Linked DNA regions of Oryctolagus cuniculus. The protein of the gene in region 2 interacts with the protein of the main gene of each other region in a pairwise test. Links are inferred from orthologs where the notes say so. Each region holds a gene or a part of one and is shown on either strand. Other genes may lie near its edges.

Evidence for each region.
Region 1: the proteins of CACFD1 (region 2) and LDAF1 interact in binary tests that used the Homo sapiens proteins (3 or more experiments, as listed by UniProt). The two-hybrid records come from large-scale screens. The link is inferred for Oryctolagus cuniculus from reciprocal best matches to the Homo sapiens genes CACFD1 and LDAF1.

Annotation. Positions count from the first base shown.
Region 1 is NC_091450.1:18,055,753-18,059,856, reverse strand, and holds the start of LDAF1 (lipid droplet assembly factor 1), read left to right. Parts: upstream 1-1,304; 5' UTR 1,305-1,461; intron 1,462-1,676; exon of another isoform or gene 1,677-1,816; intron 1,817-2,068; exon of another isoform or gene 2,069-2,207; intron 2,208-3,891; 5' UTR 3,892-3,909; coding exon 3,910-4,083; intron 4,084-4,104. UniProt on the Homo sapiens protein: Plays an important role in the formation of lipid droplets (LD) which are storage organelles at the center of lipid and energy homeostasis. In association with BSCL2/seipin, defines the sites of LD formation in the endoplasmic reticulum.
Region 2 is NC_091432.1:235,451,740-235,455,696, forward strand, and holds the start of CACFD1 (calcium channel flower homolog), read left to right. Parts: upstream 1-1,157; 5' UTR 1,158-1,246; coding exon 1,247-1,367; intron 1,368-3,678; coding exon 3,679-3,751; intron 3,752-3,957. Other genes in the region: ADAMTS13 (A disintegrin and metalloproteinase with thrombospondin motifs 13), read left to right, coding at 348-497. UniProt on the Homo sapiens protein: Transmembrane protein which mediates synaptic endocytosis and fitness-based cell culling.

The sequences.
Region 1 (4,104 bases), on a different chromosome or scaffold from region 2:
GCAGAATTCCAAGTACTTGGGCAATCTTCCACTATTTCCTCAGGTGCATTATCAGGGAGCTGGATCAGAAGTGGAGCAGCTGGGACTCGAACCAGGGCTTATATGGATGCTGGTGTCGCAGGGGGCAGCTTAACCCACTGCACCACCATGGAAGCCTTTCTGGCCCCATTTTACAGAAGAAGCCATGGCTCAGAGAGGTAGCTCGGCCCAGGTCACAGATTAAGAGTCAGTCCTGGGACCACAGTCCAAGGCTGTTGAACCTCCAGTCTCTGGTCTTTCCCAGTATGCCCTTTGGTAGTGGTTCTCAACAGGGGCCAACTGTGTTCCCAAGGGTGCATTTGGCAATATTTGGGGACATTCTGTTACCACTTCTGGGAGGGGGTTTGTTACTGGTATGAAATGGGTAGAGGCCAGGGTTGTTATTAAAATCCCACAATACACAGGACAGTCCAGAAACAGAACTACCACCCCAAAATGTCAACAACCCTGCTGTTGAGAAAGTCTGCTCTAATAGGTTGTGGATTTGGGCCAGGAAACCTGAGTTCCTGCTCGCTCGTATTTGGATCCTTAGAACTGAGGGATTTGGGTTTATCTGTGCTGTAGCTCTGGCTCAAAACTTTACCATAAGTACAAGAGAGATGCCAGCAGTGGGCGCTGTGGCCCAGCGGTTTAAGTTGCTGTTTGGGACACCTGCATCCCACCTGGGAGAGAGCCCTGGCTACTCCGCACTGCCAAGTCAGCATTCCTGCTACCGTGCCTGGAAGGCAGGCCACAATGGCCCATGCACTTAGGACTGCGATGGACTTCCTGGCGCCTGCCTTAATGCTGTTGCCCGCATTTGGGGAGTGAGCCAGCAGCTGGAAGATGTGTCTATGTCGTTCTCTCCCTGTCACTCTGCCTGTCAAACAACTTAAAAAACTAATCAAATCCATCTCTAAGGCTCTGTGACTCATAACCTTTAACCCTGAGGGTAACGACTAAAGACTTCCAGCCAAGCTGGTACCTCATCACCTGCACCTGTGTCTTCAGCGCCACAGATGCTTCTAGAAGAGCCGAGTCTGCGAATTTAGGAGGCGAAACCCTAAGTTCCTTCGAAAACCCATCCTCAGCATCACCCTGAGGTGATCCGGGCACTCTCACTCCAAGCCCAGGCCGCCGGAAGGGACACTCTCCGAGCCTCTGTTTCCTCAACCCTACACCTCTCGGGGATTGTCCGGGCGGACCCCAAGTCTGGCCCAGCGACCCGGCGCGCCTCACAGAACCCGCGAGGCCGCCGCCGCCGCCGCCGCCGCCGCCGCGGCGGAGCCTTCGCCCACCTTCCGGCCGCGGGCAGGGGGCGGAGCCTCGGGGTGGCGCGCGCGCCCAGGGGCGGGGAAGGCGGCTCCGGTTCCTCCTCCTCCTCCTGCCTCCCTCCGCTCTCCCCACACAGGCGCGGCGGCGGCAGCGCGGCCGCGGGACCAGGTGAGAGCGCCACGCTCGGGGCCGCGCGGCCCAGGGTGCTTCGGCCGCGGAGACCCCCTGGCTCGCGGGGAACTTGTGGAAGAGCGCGGGGGCGGCGGCTCGAGAGTGTGCACAGGTTCCGGGGTCACTGATAAGGGGGTGTCTCCTTGTCTGGGAGTTCACAGACGCGCCTGGGAGTGCACGCCAAGGTTTGGTAAAAGGGTGACCAACCCCACCTTGCCTCGGAGACCGTCTTCCTTTCGGGAGACCCGGTTGGGAAGACGTGCAGTCAAACCTCCTGCCTAGGAGTATTGAAAATGGGTGCCGTCCTCTCCACCGAGTCACTGCCGAGAGAGAGGAGCTGCGAGTGCAAGGGTGGATTTTACTCGGCACCCCTCACCCCAGCCCGCCTCGAGTCCCCATTTCTCAGCCTCGGTGACCTCTCGGGCGCGGCGCGTGGCTTGGTCACATCCCATTCCTCCTCGCTGGGATGCCCCCCGCTTCTAGTACTAGAAAGACTGGGCCCCAGTGGGAAAGGAGGTGGTTAGGGTGGGCTCCAGGCGCCCTCCCCCAGCCAGAGATGCGACCCGCTCTTCCCCCCTCCCTGCTGGACCGTTAGAGGGTGGCCGTTTGCCCGCGGGGGCGCGAGAGCCGCGAGGTGCTTTGGGGGTTGGCGGGGCACCTGTGGCTGCGCCAGGTGGCACCGTCCGTGCGGCGAAGGCTGCCTGGTTCCCGCGGAGACCCCTGCGAGGAGCCAGGGACTAGGGGTAAGGAACTCGCTGGCCAGGTCGATGCACTTGATGGCTTGGCGGTGGCGTGCTCCCCCACGCTAGCTCCCATCGGACTTCCCAAACCGGTCTGGCGCTTGGGTTTCCCAGGCCAAAGGAGATGTGCCTGGGAATTGGGCTTGTTTCTACCCGCTGCGGAGATGAGATTAGGAGAACCGAGTGCTGGGAACATCTCAAATTCAAGGTCTGGGCCGGCTGCGGCTTCAGAGATGGAAGATGGGGTGGAGGGACTTTAATCCTCCCTGTCCACAGGCAGAACAGCGCTAGCTGGAGCCCTGAAAATGCGCTTTCATTTGCCCACAAGACCCTGTAGCTATTGGGAAACTTCTGCTTTGTAACTCACATAATTAGCATGCAGGATATTCAATATGGTAAATAAATGTGAGGTTCTCAGTTAATTTTGGCCACTGTGACTGAATGCGTTAGGCATTTGTGTTACAGGTCAGGGGGTCAATGGTAAGGGAGAAATGGAAAAGATACCTTGTTTGGGGGATCATAAAATAAGCCATTTTGGGGGGAGTATAAAAGCTCAGCAAGGATCAAAAAAGTATTTAGCCAACTGCCCTTATTAAAAATAAATAAAAATGATGTGAGGTTGGGAGCGTCCCAGAAATTCCAGGCTCCTTAGTCAGAGGATGTACTGCGGCAAGGTCTTCTCCCTAAGGCACAGCTCTCAAAACTGGGAAGAGACCCACAAGTAAACAGATTGGTTTAGGGCATTGGGAACCAACTTGTACAATATGGGTAGTAAATAAAGAAAAGAGATTGGCCACATCATTGTCTCACTAGAAAGGCATTTTTATTTTTTAAGGTCAGTGTGCCTTGAAATAGTGTCCTCAGCTTGCTTTCTGTTTTTTTTTTTTTTCAGTGTTTTGCCATGCTAAAAAAAAAGACTCTCAGTGATGATACTGTTAATAGTTATATGTCCAATATCTTTTACTCTGCAATATATACATAAAAGACATATTTGTAACAAATTGGAGTATTTTTAAAAAATGTATCATGAACATCTAAATAAAAAATAAATATTATTTATTTTTTAATTTGAAAGTTAGAGTCATAGACAGTGAGAGAGAGACAGACAGAGAGAAAGGTCTTCCTTCTGTTGGTTCACTCCCCAAATGTGCCAATCCAAAGCCATGGTCTCCCATGCGGTTGCAGGGGCCCAAGCACCTGGGCCATCCTCCATTGCCTTCCCACGCCACAGCAGAGAGCTGGACTGGAAGAGGAGCAACTGGGACTAGAACCTGGTGCCCATATGGGATGCTGGCACCACAGGCGGAGGATTAACCTAGTGAGCCACGATGCTGGCCCCTGAACATCTTTTTAATGTCACTGATTAGTAACATCATTTTAGTGACTGAATTTACCATTATCTAGTCAGTTTCCTCCTGAAGGGCAGTTAGCTTCTTCCCAGTGTCCTGCCGGTCATTATATATTATAAACAGCGATGTGCTACACGTCCTTTGGCTACATTTTTATAAACTTGTTTGATTATTTAGGTTTCGGTTGCTGGGTTAAAGTGTGTGCAATGTGAAATTTGGATAAATATTGCCAAGTTATCCACTGTCTGCATGCCCTCCCTCAGTGTGTGAGGAGTTCTTGTGGAACCAGTTGGATGGAGACCTTTAATGATTTAAGAAACATTTTTGTTTTTCTCCAGTGACAGAGACGAAGTGGCATGAGGGATTGGACTGCGCACTCCATTGATTTACTGACAGGAGAATTAATCCTCAAGAAGATTGAAGTAACCTTCAGGATGGTGAAAGAAGAGTCCCCGAGTATCTCAAAGGACTTGCAAGAGTTACAGAGGAAGCTGTCTTTGCTGATAGAGTCTTTCAAGAATAACTCAAAGGTCAGTGTCCAGTCATTATAT
Region 2 (3,957 bases):
GCAGTGGACTGCAGGTCAGCCGGGGGTACAGCCTGCCAGAAAGTTGAGGCTTTGTGTGCTCTGGGAGGCTGGAGCTCGGCCGGCGAGGTGCCCACTCCCTGGAGGCGGCTGTCTGGCCTCTGGAACTGGACACATCTGTCTGGGATCCAGCTCCGGGATGCTGGCTGTGCATCCTGGGGAAATGGGGTAACTTCTCTGAGCCTCAGTTTCTGGGGAGGATGACAGTGCCCCGATGGGGCCCCCATGGGGGTTCAGCGCTGTGCCTGCCACCTGCCACATGCATGCGTCCCTGTGTGCTGGCTGGCCGTCACTCCAGCTCCTCCTCCTGGGCTGCCCCTTTCTCCCAGATCCGGGACATCCACAGCTGGAGCACCACAGCCTTCCGTGGGCAGCAGGTGCTCTACTGGGAGTCCAGGGGCAGCCAGGCCGAGGTGGAGTTCAGCCAGAGCTTTTTGGAGGCCGGCGCCAGCCTGCGAGGCCACTACTGGACCTTCTGATGGAGGGTGCGGGAGGAAGAGGGACAGCGGGACCTGGACACTCGGCCCTGGCTGTCCCCTCCCCATCCCGCTCATCCCCACGTCGGCCTCTGACCTGCCCTCTACAGAGTGGGTGTCCGGGCCTTGCTCTCCGACAGCTTTCTGGTCTTGGGAGGCGTCGGCTGGAAGGCGAGCACACTTTGGAAAAGCCGTGCCAGCCCCCTGGGAACCAATAAACAAAACAGACCAAACACGGTGCCTGACTGTTTGCTGTACGTTACCTGCCCGAACCTTGGCAAGGTGGGGTTTTCCTGGCTGTGACTGGCTCCATCCTGAAGCCAGCAAGCCACTCGCCTACCCAGGGAGGGCAGGAGAAGAGTGTGGAGTCCGGACTGGGCCTGGAGGCCAGGTGCACCTGCTGCACCTGCCAGTGCCGAAGCCCCACCCCCATGCTAGTCCGGGTGGGAGGATCAGACGCCCAGGTGCCAGGGCCGCCAGGCCCCGCCCCGTGCCAGGGAGCGCCAGATGCCCTCCGGCGCTGCCTTGCGAGCCCCGCCCCTTATGCCCGGTCTCCCTCGGGCGCACCTGCCGGGGCTGCCAAGCCCCGCCCTCCATGCTGATCGGCGCCTCGCGGGCGCACCTGCGGCGGCCTGAGAGCCCCGCCCCCTATGTTAATACGGCCGCCTCTCCCACAAGGCAGCGCGCCAGGCCGAAGCGGCCGGGCTCCGAGCCCTTTGTGAGGGTCGGGGGCTGCGCAGGTCCGCGGCACCATGAGCGGCTCGGGCGGGGCGGCGGCGGTGTCCGCCGGCTCGGCGCCGCCCGCGCAGGAGGAGGGCATGACGTGGTGGTACCGCTGGCTGTGTCGCCTGTCGGGGGTGCTGGGGGCCGTCTGTGAGTAGCCCCCGCCGGGAAGGGACTCGCGTGGGGTCTGGGGTCCTCGGGCGCCGGCCCGGGCGGGGGCGGGGGCCGGGGAGCCGGCGCCCTCTGGTTGCCATGGTTCCTGGCCTCGGGCCTGGGCTCCTTGGTTCCCAGGACCAGGCTGGCGATTCCGGAGAGGGAACACAAACTCCCACCGTGAGCGCTGCGCTGGGCATGTGGCCGGGCCTGTCCCAATGATGCTGGGGACACCATCACCTGGGAAGGGGTGTGTGTGTGGAGAGAGCCCTGCCCCAGCCTTGGGACCCGACTGTTGTAGGTGGGGCGGGGCAGGAAGCCACCGTCCGTCCGGGAAGTATACTGATGGGGAGGTCCGGGCCCCACTGCCCTCAACGATGCCAGAGCTTTCTCTCCGAAGCCTTCAGCTGCCTCTCCTTGGCCCTTCCGGACCCCCCTGGACACACCCCTGCCCTGAGCTCCCAGGCAGGCGGGCGGCCCCTTGTAGCACAAGTCCGGAAGGCACACAAGGCAGGCGGCACGTGCGGAGCAGAAGGGACGTGGAGCCCTGGGAGGAGCTGGCCCGCGAAGGCAGGCAGCCGTGTCTGTGGCCTGTGCAACCGCCCCCTTCTTCCTGTCTGCCCTGGACATCACGGCCAGGCCTGGTGCGTCCTCTCCAGTTGGGCCGGTGGCCTCCCTGGCAGCCTGGGGTGGGCGCTCCTGAGCAGGTGCCGGTGGTCAGTGGAGAGCAGGAGGAGAGGTCCCGGCGTAAGGCCGGCACAGCCGGTGGCCCTGCCGACTCTGGAGTCCCATCCTGGGCTGTGGGTGCCGTGCCCGGGCGCTGCAGATGAAGCCGGGAAACACTGTGGCATCTCCCTGAGTTGTCCGTGTCGCCTGCAGATTAGGGGGACGGTGTATGAATCACAAGAACTGTGTCCCACCGTGGGATGGCAGAGCGTGGGTGTCTCAGGGACGCACGAGGGTGTGCATCTGGCTGGGCCCCTTGGGGGTGTGGTGCTGCCCTTTGGGGCGAAGGCCTCGAAGAGGACCCGGAGGGGCGTCCGCCCTGGCCGTAGGAGGGTCTGGAGGCAGCAGCTTGGGAGGAGAGAGCAGGCTGCACGTGACGTCAGTGACAGGCGGTCACAGGGGAGGCGGGAGCGCGGGAGGCCCTGGCCCACAGCTCCCTGCTGCTGAAGATGCTGGCGGGATCCTGCGCGTGTGTGCGGGCACCTGGCCGTCCCTGGAGGACGGAGGGCCAGGGCTGGAGCTGACCGCAGCGGGACGTGCAGGCCCTGGCCAGGGAGACGCAGCACAGCTACCGAGCGGGCGGAGCCGTGCCGTCTTGGAGACTTCGGCCGGGACAGGCAGTGCCCCCGCGTGTGTCTGTGGCCCTGGGAACCTTGCTGTCCCGGGATGCCAGGGAGGCCTTGGGCGCCGTGAGGGCAGGCCCACGGCAGCCCGGGCTCGGTTCCCCCATGTCCTCCTCCGGCACCTGCTGTCTGTATAGGGTTACACGGGAAGATGGAAAACAGCCAAATTCCAGGCCCAGGTGGAGGGATCAGGTGCAGGGGAGCCTCTGCAAGTTTAATGAGCTGTTTGCTAATTGCTGCCTCCGAGGGCCACTGCCCCGCCCCATGACCTGGGCTCGCCCGGCTCGGGTCCTGCCCAGCAGCCGGCTCCCTGGAACTGCCTTGCAGCAAAGCCAGGTGGTCCTGCAGGTGGAGGAGGGAGGGGTGTGGCGGGCCTGGTGGAGAGGTGCAGCGGGGAGGAGGGCTTCGAGGTTGTGCACCCGGGACCTTGGAGAAGGCCCCTGCTGGGGTGGGAGAGGACACCCCTGCCCCCTGGCGGTGTCCCAGGGCAGGGAACAGGCCTAGAAAGAGGGACGGCGCGCCCAGCTCCCTCGGCTGCTGTGGGACTCAGAGCTGGGACCCCTGTCCGGCTCCAAGGGGGCACCGCTCGCTCCGACCACAATCTGAGGCGCATGGCTGCATGGGAGGACCTCGAGTGAGCCGTGCCACGTGCCCCAGGCCTGGTTGAGGTGGCGCCGCGGCCTGAGCCCCTGAGACGCATCGCCCCTTAAGCCCAGCCCCGCTGAGAGGGGCGTCCACACCCCGGGGACAGAGGCCCAGCTCCTTGGGGGACAGTGGTGGAGAGAGGAGGGCGGGCGTCCCTCACAGCCTCCCTCTGCCCTAGCTGCAGCCCGGCCATCGTCCTGCCGGGGCCCGGGCAGTGTGGAGTGAGCCGCAGCCTCTCCTGCGCCGGTCGGCGCGGTGCGGACTCCTGGGCGCTGTGCCGGGCCCTGCCGACTCCTCTGTGTCTTGCTCCCCAGCGTGCGCCATCTCTGGTCTGTTCAACTGTATCACCATCCACCCTCTGAACATCGCGGCCGGCGTGTGGATGATGTGAGTAGCCCCGGCGGGCCTGCTTTCCCACTCTGGCCGCTGTCAGACCTCCCACGGAGGCTGCAGGCCATGGGGCACCCACCTGGCACAACACAGTCCCTGTGCATGCCAGACAGGCGGTCACCACGTCCAGCACCGCGGGGCCCTTCTGGGGGCTGCTCCCTAGGGCTTTGCAGTGGCTGGGCGAGGGCAGGGCAGAGACGGGC